Linked DNA regions of Struthio camelus. Each later gene encodes a partner of the first gene's protein in a complex. Links are inferred from orthologs where the notes say so. Each region holds a gene or a part of one and is shown in the gene's direction. Other genes may lie near its edges.

What was found. The genes of interacting proteins can lie anywhere in the genome.
Region 2: the proteins of NUP93 (region 1) and NUP35 are in contact, whole or in part, in a crystal structure (PDB 7MW1), measured with the Homo sapiens proteins. The link is inferred for Struthio camelus from reciprocal best matches to the Homo sapiens genes NUP93 and NUP35. Residues at the interface, in NP_055484.3 of Homo sapiens: Tyr266, Tyr269, Asn402, Ala407, Asp408, Lys409, Thr410, Glu411, Tyr413, Tyr448, His452, Phe453, Val455, Asn456, Leu461; in NP_612142.2 of Homo sapiens: Ala88, Pro89, Pro90, Val91, Arg92, Ser93, Ile94, Tyr95.

Annotation. Positions count from the first base shown.
Region 1 is NC_090951.1:22,061,643-22,069,047, forward strand, and holds the start of NUP93 (nuclear pore complex protein Nup93), read left to right. Parts: upstream 1-4,396; 5' UTR 4,397-4,659; coding exon 4,660-4,747; intron 4,748-6,986; exon of another isoform or gene 6,987-7,054; intron 7,055-7,405. UniProt on the Homo sapiens protein: Plays a role in the nuclear pore complex (NPC) assembly and/or maintenance. May anchor nucleoporins, but not NUP153 and TPR, to the NPC. During renal development, regulates podocyte migration and proliferation through SMAD4 signaling.
Region 2 is NC_090947.1:17,816,777-17,823,845, reverse strand, and holds the start of NUP35 (nucleoporin NUP35), read left to right. Parts: upstream 1-4,056; 5' UTR 4,057-4,221; coding exon 4,222-4,255; intron 4,256-5,091; coding exon 5,092-5,262; intron 5,263-7,069. Other genes in the region: DUSP19 (dual specificity protein phosphatase 19), read left to right, coding at 2,292-2,513. UniProt on the Homo sapiens protein: Functions as a component of the nuclear pore complex (NPC).

The DNA of each region.
Region 1 (7,405 bases):
AGCCGGACCGCGCACCCGGGATGAACCTGGGCGCATCCACCCAGGAGGCCAATACCAGGCTGGCGATGCGATTTCCCCTCTTTAACTAAATGAGAGCCGCCTGCTTGGGGAAATATCCGGTGCTTTAGTTCAGCAGCGTGGCCTACGTCTCCGGGCTGGCTCTTTGCAGCCTCCCCAAACATGATATGGGATCGGGAAAGGCAGAAAGCCGTGGGGCGGGTGCAGGTGCCCGGGAGCGGGGACATGCACCGTGCCTGTCCCTGCACCTTGCGGCACCGGGCTGAGCCGCTCGCTCTGTCCCCAGGTGACTCCTGTACCTGCGCACCCAACTGCAAGTGCAAAGCCTGCAAATGCGCGTCGTGCCAGAAAAGTGAGTGCGGGTCGCTCGGGGGCCCCGTCGGGAGGGCGGCGGGTCGGGTCGGCGATGCCCTTCCTGTCGGAAAGCTGCTCCCCACCGCCGGGGCGCCGGAGACCCTGTTAGAGCTCGCAGGGAGGTGGGGGGGGCCGCAACAACGGCGGAGCTGGGATGGATGCGGGGCTTCGCCCTGGGTACAAACAGCACGGGGTGACCAAAAACACAGATGGCGTCTCGGGGCAAGGGGCCGCGGTGCGGCAGGGCGCCCCGGCACGGCCTGGCTGCAGGCTCAGGCTTGCTCTGGAGCATCGCTCGAGCCAAAGGGTTAGATTTAGCTTGCGCTGGATTGGGCTCTCAGCAGCACCGACAGAAGCTTGGCCTTTATTTATAAAGGCCAAGTGGGTAAAACTTTAATACGGCAGCTGTGAGCTCCCTGCCCTGCCTGGCAGCACGTCCGTGGGGTGCCGGCGCGGGGCGGCGAAGGCGCACCCCGTGCTCTCCCTGAGCACCCTCCTCTCCCGGCTGCGTTGCAGGCTGCTGCTCCTGTTGCCCGGCCGGCTGCAAGAACTGCCTCGCGGGCTGCGTCTGCAAAGAGCCGTCGTCTCCGAAATGTAGCTGCTGCCAGTGACGTGGCTGGGGCCTTTCTGGTCTATCAGGAATGTTTGCTGTGTACAAATTCTATTTTTGTAATTTTTTAAACCGCTGTGGTAGCTGCTCTTGGCTTCCGTGCACCTGCGTGTAGTGGGAAGGAGATGGGAATAAAGGCTTGATGTGAGAAGTGGACCGCGTGGTTTATTCAGCCTCTCAAAAAAAAGCACCCTTCAGCTTGTAGTTTCCTGAGCAGATGAGGCTGGTGCTGGGTGGCCCAGCAGTGGGGTGCAGCACCCAACGGTGCGGTGCTGAGCGCTGCCTCGCGCCGCGTGAGCCCTGCCAGGCTGCCCCGTCTCTGCAGCACGGCAGCCTGCCCCCGTCAGCCCTGAGCAGGGCAGACGCGCACCCAGAGCTGCTGGGGATGCACACCCCGTAGGGGTGGGATGCACACCCCGAGCAGGTGGGACGCACACTCTGTCCGAGGAGGGATGCACACCCTGAGCAGCTGGGATGCACACCCCAGGTGGGTGCCCTGCACACCCCATGTGGGCGTGCTGCACACCCCGTGCAGCTGGGGTGCACACCCCATGTGGGTGCGATGCACACCCCATGTGGGTGCCCTGCACACCCCAGGTGGGAGCCCTGCACACCCCATGCAGCTGGGATGCACACCCCATGTGGGCACGCTGCACACCCCATGTGGGTGCGCCACACACGTCATGCAGCTGGGATGCACACCCCATGTGGGTGTGATGCACACCCCAGGTGGGTGCCCTGCACACCCCATGCAGCTGGGATGCACACCCCATGTGGGTGTGATGCACACCCCGGGTGGGTGCGATGCACACCCCGGGTGGGTGCGCTGCACACCCCATGCAGCTGGGATGCACACCCCATGTGGGTGTGATGCACACCCCGGGTGGGTGCGCTGCACACCCCGGGTGGGTGCGCTGCACACCCCATGCAGCTGGGATGCACACCCCATGTGGGTGTGATGCACACCCCAGGTGGGTGCCCTGCACACCCCATGCAGCTGGGATGCACACCCCAGGTGGGTGTGATGCACACCCCGGGTGGGTGCCCTGCACACCCCATGCAGCTGGGATGCACAACCCAGGTGAGTGGGATGCACACCCTGAGCAGCTGGGATGCACACCCCATGTGGGTGTGATGCACACCCTGAGCAGGTGGGCCGCACACCCCATGTTGGAGTGACGCACCCCCTGCGTCCGCGCACCCAGAGGGGAAGGGAGCGGCACTGGGGAGCACCAGGGAGCCCATGTCAGACAGGAGCCGCTCATTTTTGTGAGCGTTTGCTGCCACCTGGCTGCTTCGGTCTTCAGCTCCACCATGGGCACGCGAGGCCTCTTGCTGCCCCGCGCCAGCTCCTGCCCGCTGGGCCCTTGGGGGGGCGGCCGCAGCCCCGGCCCCTCGCAGGGCAGGGGTCCCCGCCGCCCCCGGGCGCTCAGCCCCAGCCTGCCCTCCCCGAAAAGCCCCCTCCGGGCGCAGTCGGCATTTCAGGACTCCCGTGATGCTCGGAAAACGGGAACTTGGCTCCCTGAGTTTTCGAGGCCCTTAGGGCAAGCGTGGGAGAATCGGAGGCTGCCCATGGAGCGGCCCCAGCGAGCGCCTGCAGTGCAGCTACGCACCAGCGACGCAGCAGTTCGCTGCAGACCCCAAAGGTTGTCTGGAAAGCAGGGGATATTTAAGAAGGCGGTCAGCCCCGAGCGCCGTGCTGCTGCAGCTGCCCCTTGCCGAGCTAGCTACGTTTTCGAGCTGCCTTGGGTGTTTTTATACGCCCAAGTGTACAAAAACTTAGTTTTTTTACCCTAAGTGGAGCTTGTAACAGGGAAAAAATAAAGTGGCAGGAGGTGATATATGATGGTTGGAAAGACTTGGATGTGGTGAGCCAAAAAAAAAAAAAAAAAGCAAGCCCACAGGGGACTTCAAGAAGAGGCATGTTTTAGTCTCGCTGACATTTATCGTCTCGCGTGCAGGCGACATCCTCGGGACAGTCTGGATTTCAGCGTCGCACGGAGGTGCAGGGAGCCCTCCGCGCCTCCCCCGCGGCCTCTTTCGGCGCCAGCACCTACCGTAGGCCAGCCTAAACGCCAGCTCCCGACTTTCTTTCCTGCTCTAGCAGCATTTCCGCAGTTTAGAAAATTCCTTTCGGGGCAGTCTGGGACGGGGCGGACGTTTCGGGCCGCCTCAAGCCTCAGGGAAGACGGGAGCCTCGAGAGCGGCTGGGAGGCTTTGACGGGGGACGTCGGCGCTGGAGAAGGACCTCGTGGGCCGTGCTCGCCAGCTCTTCTGCTCCCAGTCTGTTGTGTGTTTGTCAGACAGGCCCTACGGGCGCCAGCGAAATTCCCTGCTCCTCAGACCCGGCCCTACGAACCCTGGCGTCATCAGAGACATCGACTCTACAGCTTGCGCGAACGCCTTGCCCCCTCATGCGTGCGCGGCCCTGTGGTGAACAAGTACAGTAATATTCTCGTACACCTCCAGGGGAGCTCAAAATAACCCCGCTCTTGCATATTTGGCAATCAGAAGCGCCCAGGGTTTGGGGTTTGCTCAAAGACGGGATCGTAGGCGAGGCAGGGCTCTGGAGGGAGGCAGCGAGGGTGCTGGGAGCTGGCGTCCCCCAGGTTCCCTGGAATCGGAAGGTTTTATTACCAAACTGGCGCACGCACTCTCGGTGACTCCCCTGCGGCGCGTCGGGCTCCCGTGTACAGCGCCGTGCACACGGCGGCAGCGGCGGGCAAGGCGGAGGGCAGCCTCGAACTCACGGCCCAAGGCCTCTCCTCCTCCTCCTCCCCCCTCTCCCCCCACCCGCGCTGTCCGTGTGCGCCCCGGCGCGCCTGCATAAAGTTGTTCCCTCAGAGGGGCGGGAGCCGGCGCGCGGCGGGGGGAAGTGGGCCGGCTCGGCCAATAGGCACGCGCGGCGCTCGGGGAAGTGGGCCGGCTCGGCCAATAGGCACGCGCGGCGCGCGGCGAAGAGGGCGGGCTCGGCCAATGGGCGCGTGCGGCGCGGCGCGGGGGCGGCCGGAGCGGCGGTGGCGGCCGGAGCGGCGGGCAGGTGAGGGCGCCGCGGGGCCGCGGGGCCGCGTCGGGTGTGTGGGGCCGCCGCCATCTCCCCGCGGCGGCGGGGCCGGGCCGGGCCGGGCCGGGCCGGGCTCCCCCTGCCGCCAGCGTCCCCCAGGGCTCCCGGCGCCCTCTCCTCGCAGCCGCGCGGGCTCGGCGGGGTCGCCCGCCGGGCCGCGGCGCCTGAGGCGGGGCGTCGCCGGCCGCCGCCCCGGGGCTGCCCCGGGCTCCGTAGCCGGCGCCGCGGCCGCCCCTGCTGCGGGGAGCGGCGCGGCCGGGCGGCTCCTGTGGGCGCGGGGGCCGCCGCGCCGTCTCGGGGCGGTGCCGGCGGCCGTAGGCGGGCGGCTCCCGGCGGGCCCCCGGCCGGGCCGGCACGTGCTGCTGGCGGTGAGCGGCAGGAGAGGCAGCGCTCCGCTCTTGTGCTGCCCCCGCCTCTGCTGGCGTTTGGCAGCAGGCGTTGGTGGCCTCCTCGTTACCGAGCGGAGCTTTATGAGCGAGCTAGACGGGGTGTGAGACGCTTCTGAGCGGGGAAGGTAGTCCGTGTATGGTACTCGGGTTCTTCAGAGCGGTAATTCTGGTGCAGGATGGGAGAGCCGCCTTTGAATGCGTAGCCTGGACCCTTCAGTACGTACATGGAGGAGAATGGTGACCAGGCTTTCCTCCACCCCAACTTACAAGTCATCTGTGCCAACAGCAGGGCTGACTTTGTGTGTGAAACAGGTGAACAAGACAATAAGGTTTTATTACAGAGCGTCCTGGATGTAAGACTCTATTTCTGACCCTAAAGAACACTCTTTACTAGTTCCCCCTAGGAAGGATTTGCTCCATGTTACAGATTCGGTCTTTGCAGAGCTGTCATACAGCACGTGTAGTAACTTGCTAGTGCTGTTTGGTCCTAATTCTAGGCAACAGCAAAACTTCGTGATGTTGAATTGCACCTGTGTTAAAGTTTGACCTTTGGACGTGCTGAGAATCGATATGTAGTTAGCACTGTTGTGGAGTCCTGGGTGCTGTCTGTGCCCAACTCTATCCTAAACTAGAGTGTGTTAACAATTGGTGGAAGGGGTTGAACTCTCAAAAGTCCAAGTGCGACTAAGGACTATTTCTCTCCTCTGCGGATTTGATCGTGCTGACATATGTGACAGCGTTTAGGTCATGGAGAGCTAAGTCTGTTGAGGAGGATAAATAAGAACTTGTTCACATATATTTTATTGGACTCCGTTTCTGTTATGTCTCGAAGGGGTCTGCACTTTCTTTGAAAGACTTACAGGGGCTTACAAATTGGAAAATTTAAAACGTGACTTAGATAATATATGTGATTCTGTGATCTAATTTCTAATGTTCCCATGGGGTAAGGTCACAGGAAATTCACAGGGCAGGAGAGGGTCTGGGTTTTCATCTAAGGAATTTCAGAAATAAAATTAAATGTTTGATTTAATGATTGGCCGGTTTGCCCTACAGCTGAAGTTAGCGGCCCACTGAGCTTGGGTGGTCAGTCACGTGCCTAAAATAAGTACCAAGTGTTTGGAAAACAGGGTGAACGATGAGATGGCAAAACTGCCAGCTGAGCCAGTTATTTAGGATAGTAGGGACTTGAGACCTCTGGGAGGAATTCAAAGTCAGATGGCAGATAAAAGTCAGTGTTGACAAATGCATAGTAATATATATTGGAAGAAATCATTGAAAGTGCTTACTGTACGATTCTACGTTAAGTAACGAACAGGATAGAGAAGAGTGGCAAGGCTCTTGTTTGCCCTTTCACAGAGTTCAAGAGCAAATGACAGTGAATGTCAATGCCTTTAAAACTTTGAAAGAAATATTTTTATGCAGTACTGATTTTGCACATGTACTGTGCTGTCACAAGAGATCTTTGAGACCAGGCGCTTAATAGCGATCATGAAAAGACCGGTCATTTACATGAATACCTGTCAACCTACAGATAAGGTTCAGAACAAAACATACAGGATTGAATCTTGCAGGGGGCAGGGAGGATTAATTGGTGGGTGACCACCTGCTCTTTGATTTCAGACTCTGCAATTCTTGATCCATTTTTCCTGTCTGTAAAATGGGGAATATGATGCTAACTTTCTCTGTGAAATGTTCTGATGTCTACTTATGCAAAGTACTGCACAAGAGCTAGGTATTATTACTGCTATTCATACAAAACTCCTGAGGCCTGCAGAACAGGCCTTTTATTTATTCATGTTTAGCTTCTCTTCTAGCTTCAGAATAAATTGTAGGCTCTGGGGAAAATGTTCTCAAAGTTGAAACAAAAGGAAACACTTAAGAAAAACATAGTTTATACAGAAATCCTTGGTTTAACAGAACACGCGAAGCATAACAACAGACCAACACACCAAAAATTTATGTTTTTAACATTGATAGTAGTGGCTTGTAGTATTCAGGCTATAGTCCTCTGTTGTCAGAGAAGTAATGACAGCTTTTCTGGTAGAAGTTGAAATACTTGCTACTGATCTGGACTGGCAGAAAGTTCATTTAAGAAAGGAGAGGGGGGGAGGCCATGGAGGAAGCTAGGGAAAGTTCAGCTTCTTCTCATCGGGTTAGTAGACAGAAGTTATAAGGCCTGTCTTCAGATCCTGTTGAAAAAGCACATCCTTACTCTCATCTCAGATCTTGGCTGTGGTAAGGAAAGGAGAGTTATCTGCTGTCTCTCACCAGTGTGCTTTTGTGTCTTTACTGCCAAAAGATAAAGGCAGTCCCTGTTTCTGGTGCTGGTACTTTGCTGTGCAAGCAGAAGAGTGAAGCATACCTGGACCTGGTTCATGGTTATTTAGGGCTTCTCAGGGGGTTCAGGATGGGAGAGACGAGACAGAGCCCAACTCATCAGGTTGGCTTGCTTGAGTGCTTAGGGCAGGGAGGCCTCTGCAAGAGGAACACTAGGCTCCGTCTTCATTTCCTGTTTGAAAGAACCTCTTTGTAACTTATGGAATTGAATTAGTTTATCAGCTGTTCTGAATGTTGTGGGTGCAGCTTTCCTTCTCTCCAGTGAAATTTTACTTCTTTTTGGTAAGTACTAGAAAAGCCTAAATGTTTAATTTGTTTCTCAGAGTTAATTAGATGACAAAAAGGCTGTCAGTGTGTGAAGCACAATAGACACTTGCTCACACATTAGAATATGTCAGCTTTAAGTTTTTCTGAAGATAGTACAGTAAAGTGTTCAACATGGACATATTTGGAGTATAATAATTACAGTGTTTTCATTAGACAGCATTGTAATCCTCTTGAGGAATTTTTAGTTCTATTTTTTTTTTTCAGGTAACAAATCATCATTTAAAGTCAAGCTGAATAGAATTAAGAAACCTGTCATCTTTTGTGATTTCTTTTTGGCTTAAATCCAGTCAATTTGTACAATATGTA
Region 2 (7,069 bases), on another chromosome or scaffold:
TGACTGTGCTATATAATCACTATTTCCTTTTGGTGGGAGGACACTATACTTTCTCCTATATAAAAATTCCAAGAAAACTTGGTCTTAAATCTTGCAGGTTCTTGTAAGTTGATAGACCATTTCTGGGTAGGAGAAGGTTGGGCTACAAGGATCAGAGCAGAGACTTCTTAATAAATAGAGAGTAGTTTAATATCTGCACTCTATTTCTTGCTTTTATTCTGTATTCATATCTAATGCAAAATTAATAAGAATGATGTTCCAAATTCATCTCTGTATAAAAAAGCAAGCAACAGGGTTTAGCAAGGAAGGCTAAATGTGCTCAGTGGTAACTTTGGTTTAATGTTGTTGCCCTTGTTCATTCGTGTTCAGTAATTTTCAGTTCTATTGCATTGATATCATTATATAATTTTTGGCAGTATACCACAGAGCAGTCATAAAAGGAAACTTGAGAGAAATATGAAACAGGAAAGTAAAGCATGAACTGTACAAGAAAAAAATGAATCACTTTCAAATGTTGATTTTTCACTCTGAACGTCACTGCTAGATATTGATCTCAGTTACAGTAGGTTATGTCTGAAATAACCCATTGAATCAGTAAAAGCTACTGCAGATCTACAGTGGATAAGCTTGAGCAATTGCTTCCTTAGCAGTGGCATAAATGTAATTTTTTAATATCATATTATTCTTACTAAGGAGGCAACAGATTTAGAGTTTTCCAGTGGCATGTCTGCAATGAATTGAAATACAGAGATATGTCTGCTTTCCACTCTCTTGCAGTGTGTGGTCAGGAAACACACCCCTATGAATGTGAGAAAGTGAATGAAGATTATAATATCCAGTAGACAATGCAAAGGGGATGTGATTTGCAAAGCGAGAAGGGGTGAAACTGTGATTCATTGTGCTGGGATTCAGAAGTTTAGATTCAGTTCCTAACACTGCCATAATCTTGCTGTGTTAACTTGAGCAAGTCATTCTTCTAGTCTTAGCTTAGCACTTATTCAACAAGAATAATACTTCATTTCATATGTCTTTGTCTTATTGTTTAAACTGAAAAATCTTTGAAGCAGGAACCATTTTCTGCTCTGTGTACCAGATGATTGGTACTCCAAGGTCTGTACCTAAATCGTAAAGTTCCTGAAAAGGAACCCCGCCAGTTACAAGATCTTTTTTCCTCTGGGTAAAATGTACATTGAGTAATTTGTGCATGTTAAAGGCAGGCAAAGCTGACTGTAACTATAATATATTTGTTTAGCCTCAAATATCCGAGCACGTTTTGTGTTGTGTTTCGGTATCTTTATCCAGAGCGTGGAGATGCTGGCAGAGAGTTTGCTAGGTTGTAGTCTAACATGCAAACATGACAACTTCACAAAGCCTGGGCATTGCAAATGTGACCTAACCGACACTACACTGTCCAGTGTCTGTCTTTATGATTGTTAACTCATGCCCATTATATTTTAATGAAACTTGCAGTGCCTTTTTGAAGTGTCATGAAATTGCTTCAAAAGTTGTTCAGCAAATATTTAAGTAGGGTAAAAGTATTAATTTTGTATATAATTCAAGATGAGCCTGAATTTAACCACCAGCAGAAACATCTGTGAATTTAAAAGAAGTTCAGTAGTACTGGATTTTGCACCTTAGTCCCTACCTAAGGGACCATAGTTGTACCAACTGATACAATTGGATCAGCAGTATGATGGGGAGGTAGAGATTTGTTGCAAGTCATGCTTTAACTTTGCTGATTTTTCTGTTCCCTATGCATAATCGTGCTTGCCCAGAATCTTCACTGAAGAACTCCAGAGTACACAAGAAGCATGACTGAAACTATGGAATATTCTAATTCATATCTACCTCTGCCTAAGAGCTTGCTGCATCACTATATTTTTAATCTGGTTACAAGATACAGTCAAGTTCCTCTCTGTATTGCAAATACAATCTATTTTTAAATTAGCACCCAATATCTTAGTATCCCAGATGTATTTGATTTGGATTTTATGCGAGGGACATGCTGCAAGGTCTTGGGGAAAGGGACAGAGGAATGGGATCTGGTAATTATTTCTATGACATTAGTATAGTTAGGTCTGAAGTATTTGGTAGTTATAAAGTGGCTTTTGACAAATACTTAATTTGAGGTTCTCTATCTTGTTTGGAGTTACTTACATGTGTATATGTTTTTGTTTTGGACTCCTTAAGGAGTTTTAATACATATTAATACATTTCATATTAAGTTTCCAGTACTGTTACTATGTATTTTATGAGTATCCCAACTAACGTGTTTCATTTGTTTCTTGTAGGATGGCGTGGTACTGGTTCACTGTAATGCAGGAGTCTCTCGTGCAGCAGCAATAGTCATTGGTTTTCTAATGAATTCAGAAGGACTCAGTTTTGCTAGAGCCTTTTCTTTGGTGAAAAATGCAAGGCCTGCTGTTTGTCCAAATCCTGGCTTCATGGAGCAGCTTCACAAGTACCAAGAACACAGTAAAAGGGCAAATGGAAGCATAAATGATCATGACTGATCAAAAGGGAGAAGTGAAACAATCTATAAGTATACAATAACAGATGTTGGATGTACTTTAATCTGTCATTTTGCAGTTCCTTTTCACATGTGCATTTAAAATTCATTCTCTACACATTTTTCTTCTGTGTTTCCCCCTCCTGTTTTCAGCATCTAATCTAGAGGCCAAATGGTGTTCTACTGACTTCAGAGAAGATTTGGCTCAAGAACCAGCTCTTCCTAGAGCAACGTTAGAAAGATCAAGTTCTCTTTTCCTTGCAATATTAGAAAAAACAGAATGATGGGCTTTATTGAACCATCAGACAATGCAGGCAATAGAGACAGAACATAAAATGATAACTGAGATAATAAAGTTGCCGTTTTTACTTTAATACTAAACCAAATCTTTATCCATTCTAGTTGATTGTAACACCTAGATAATAAAATATTCCTGTAATACCGTACCTTGCTATTAGGTCTTGATTTGGTGTTGCAAAGAAAGAAGATTTTATTGAATTTCATGGGCTAGCCAGCTGATAAATATTTTTAGAAATTAAACCAGGTGGTCTTTTGATGGAATTAAAAAAGGCATGGAGTGCTTTAATGCTTTATTTCTTTTTACTGTTTCCCATCAAGTTGTGTTTTGAAGTGCACTAACGTGATGTTTTTGAAATGCTGGAACCAGGCGATCAGTTTTCATTTTGGTAGATTGTTTCAGTGAAGATATGAAAAATGTTTAAAGCAACATCTCTCAGACTACTGCTACTGCGTTTTTTTGTATCCAGTTCTCCACTCCTCTCACTCCGTTCAGCATCACCTAAAAAGAACAGCTGTGATAGGATAGATGACTTTGGCTTTTTGTCTTGTTATCCTCCTGCCACATCTCAGGCTGGAATAACCATCTTAGGATGACACTTCAAAAAAAAAAAAAAAGAATCTGTAAAAGATTTTGTTAATGTAATCAGTGTTTTCTGTGGCCTTCATGCCAGCTCTAAATGGTTTGACGTATTAATATAAAATAAAAAAACCTGTATTTGGTTAAATTTTGTGTTAAATGAGAGATATTTGAAACATTTGTTCACAAGTACTGATACTGGGTTCTCTCCTTCTCATACCACTAATTTGAATTGCAGTGTACCATTGAGTTTGGACTACACCGTGTGTAGTTCTCTGTATTAATTGTTCATGCTAACTATCAGTGCAGGTTTTAGGTTCGCCCCATGTTGCTGTCTGGTCCCCCTTTTCCCGTTGCAACAGGGGAAGGGACCAGTCTCTGTGAACCCTGGAAACGCCAGCCCATCGTTTTCTGCGGTGAGAAAGCTTTTCTGCTTCATCTGCCGCAGGTTCAGGAGTTCTCAGCCCACAGAAACAGCACGGAATCAGCAGCTGTAATCACAACGGTGGGCCTGCGCCTTGTCGGTGCGGGCCCTTCCCAGGGGCTGCGGGCTGGCGCTCGGCGGAGCCGCGGCGGCTCCGGTCCCCGGGCGACAGCGAGGGCGCCCCGCTCTGTGACGTCCCACCCCCGGGCGCGGGGAGGGGGGAGGGGGCGGGGCCTGGGCAGTGACGTGGCGCCATGTCGGCCCTCGGCGCGGCCTCCCCCCGCCGGGGGGCGGCTCGCGAGATGGCGAGGGGGAGAGGCCGCGGCCGCGCCTCCCGGAAGTGACGCCGCAGGCGCTTCCGCCCCGTTTGAAAGCGCCTGGCGGAGCTGCTGGCAGCCGTTTCACGCCGCCATGGCCGCCTTCGCCGTGGAGCCGCCCCTTGCAGGTGAGCCGGGCCGTGGGCCGCCCGTGCCGGCCTGCTGCCACCCCCGGCCCGGCCCGCCCCGCCCCGCCCCGCCCCGCGCGCACAGCCGGCGGCCGAGTGGCGCCGCGGGGCTCACCGCGGCCCGGCGCCGCCGCTTCCTCGCCTCGGGCCTGGCTCTGCCCCGGGCGGCGCGGTCGGTCCCCCTCGGCCCCCTGCTGCACCGGCAGCCGCAGTCCGGGCCCTGTTGGGCCGGGGTGCCCAGCTGGGTGTGGGCGGCTGCCTACGCCCGGGGACTGTGGAAGGAGGCGCGCCTTCGGAGTGACCTAAACGGCCGTAACGCAAACGCTTCGTGACACCCCGAAACAACAGTCCCGAGCAAACTTGCAGGCTGCGGCGAGCTTTGCTTTGGTGGCTGGGCCGCAGGGAAACTGAGGCGGCTGGCAAGAGGCCGGAGAGCTTTGGCAGAGCGTGTTCCCAGAGCTGGGGCACAAAGCAGGATGACAGCGGGACTCTAGACAGGCTTTGTTTCAGAAGTGGAAAAAAAAAGGAAAAAAAAGCACCTTAAAGAAAGCAGATATCTTCAGAAGCAGGTGTCTCTTGCAACCAAATCGGTGTATTTTAAAAAGAAAGTCCCAGTGTGGCACTTCTTATTTTTACTGCCTTTTGGATAGTGGAGTTGCTAAAAATGCAGAATTATGATAAGCCTTATTTTCTTGAAAAATAAGTTGTTAGAAACATCCTAGTCCCTCACAGTGAATTGGTTTACGGCTTATTTATAGAGCTACTACTTAGGCGTTGGCATAGGCTAAATTGTTTGGCTGCTTCAATGTTTTTAAATTTTGTTTTTGTTAATATAGGAGCTGAGCCAATGACTCTTGGCTCCCCAACGTCTCCCAAACCAGGTGCTGGTGCTCAGTTTCTTCCTGGATTTTTGATGGGCGATCTGCCTGCTCCAGTGACTCCACAACCACGTGCTTTAAGTGGCCCTGCTGTTGGTATAATGGAAATGAGGTCTCCTCTACTTGCAGGTCAGAATGCATTAAACACTGAAAAGTTATCTTAAAAATAAGAATTAGGGTTTTCTTTATTGCTCTGTTAGAGACTTGGCTCTGTGTAGCTTTGGAATTTACTTGACAGTGAACTTGTGTGTTCAGTTTAGTTTGGCTAAACTTCTCAGAATAGACTTAAGTTTAATAAGAGTTTTAAATCAGCAGTTTGTTACCAGGAAAAGTTACTTCTACGACAAAGATAATATGAACCTTTTCTAGTATAAGTTCAACTTATACAATTCTTTACAAGCCAATTGCATATAGAATCATCTGTATTTTCTGTTTGCTCAAAGTAGTTAGATAATCTGCTGGCAAACTAAATACAGCTCATGGAAAGTGTTGATTTCTTTGCAATGAATTCTTAAAAGCCACTTACAGATTGTCAGGTTCTTAAAACTGAATGGAGAGAATATAAAAAATGCTCCTTAGTCAATATCTAGTAATTGAGCTAATGTTTGACAATCTTAGTGTCTGCCGTAATCGGACTGGAGTAGTGACATTTTTTACCTGTTGGAGGTAGATGCTTTTTTGTTTTTCAACCACCTAGTTGATCTGACTAGAAGTCATTCCTGTGTTTCTAAGACAGTGATATTATGTGTCTATCCTCTCTTAGAAGTATAAATCAGTAGTTACAGTTTTGTTAATTTGTTTCCTATCTTAGATGAGGCAGGCTTTTGTATTAAATTATTGGATGCAATATAAATATTTGGTTTCTTGGTGTTAAAATACTGGTCACTTTTTACAGAAGAATTGAGGGTTGACATACTGCAAGATTATTTCATTTTTCTTCTTTCAGTCCAAGTAGGATCGATTCTCTATTCCTGTGTCTTGTGTGTGTTGTTTTTTTTCCCTTAAATACAAGTCTCTTGAGAAAATAGTTTCAAAATTTAAAATAATCATGTAAACTTCACCTCATCCTTTTTTTTTTTTTTTTAAAAAAAGGAATCGTTGCAACAGTATCAGTTCCGCAAACAGGGTAACCAGTAAAACGCTAGGAAAGATTTTCTAAAATGAGTGGTTAGGTATATTATTTAAATTTAAGGTAAGAACCTTGAAGGGAGAGTGCTCCCCTGGATATGTTAAACTGTTGAGAGGGGAGTCTTGAAGCTTAAAACTCAGGACTGAAAAATGCTTCTGAAAAGCTTAGTTTCCTAAAGTTGTGTGAAGACTGTAAGCCTTCTCTAGCACAAACCTACACAAAGTGTTCAGAGGTATATCAGGGTCTTTCAGTCAATTTAATTCGGTGTAATAATGCAAGTCCTGAAGCTTAAAATATGGTAGGGCAGCGAACTTAACTTCATCCTGTCTATATGCAAGCTAGTTCCTACTCTCAGGAGCTTAGACTTTATTTAGTATGCAATGTTATGGGAAGGAAAGGAATAAACAGTGGAAAAGTGACAGTGTATGCATTTTGGCATTGTTCTTTAGTACAGTATGTCCCTTAAGTCTTAGAAACCTTGCTTTTGCATCTCTGAAACAGGGCAGTTAATCTCTGAAACAATTCAAATGCCAATGTACCTTAAAGCAGAAAGGTGTAGCTAGGTTCAGAACTTTTTAAAAAGAACAAGTGCATTTAAATAGTGAGCACATCAGGTTTAATCAGATGTGCTGTGACAGTCAGCGATTTACAAGTTTTAGATGATGCCTTTGTGAGGAGATAGTTTCTGATAAATATGAGATATCCTTGCCCAGAACTTTCTAACCTGAACGGTTTGGTAGGTCAGATGGTTTTGCAGATCCCTAGTGAAAGAATAAATGGTCTTTCATGGCTGAATTTGCTGTTGAA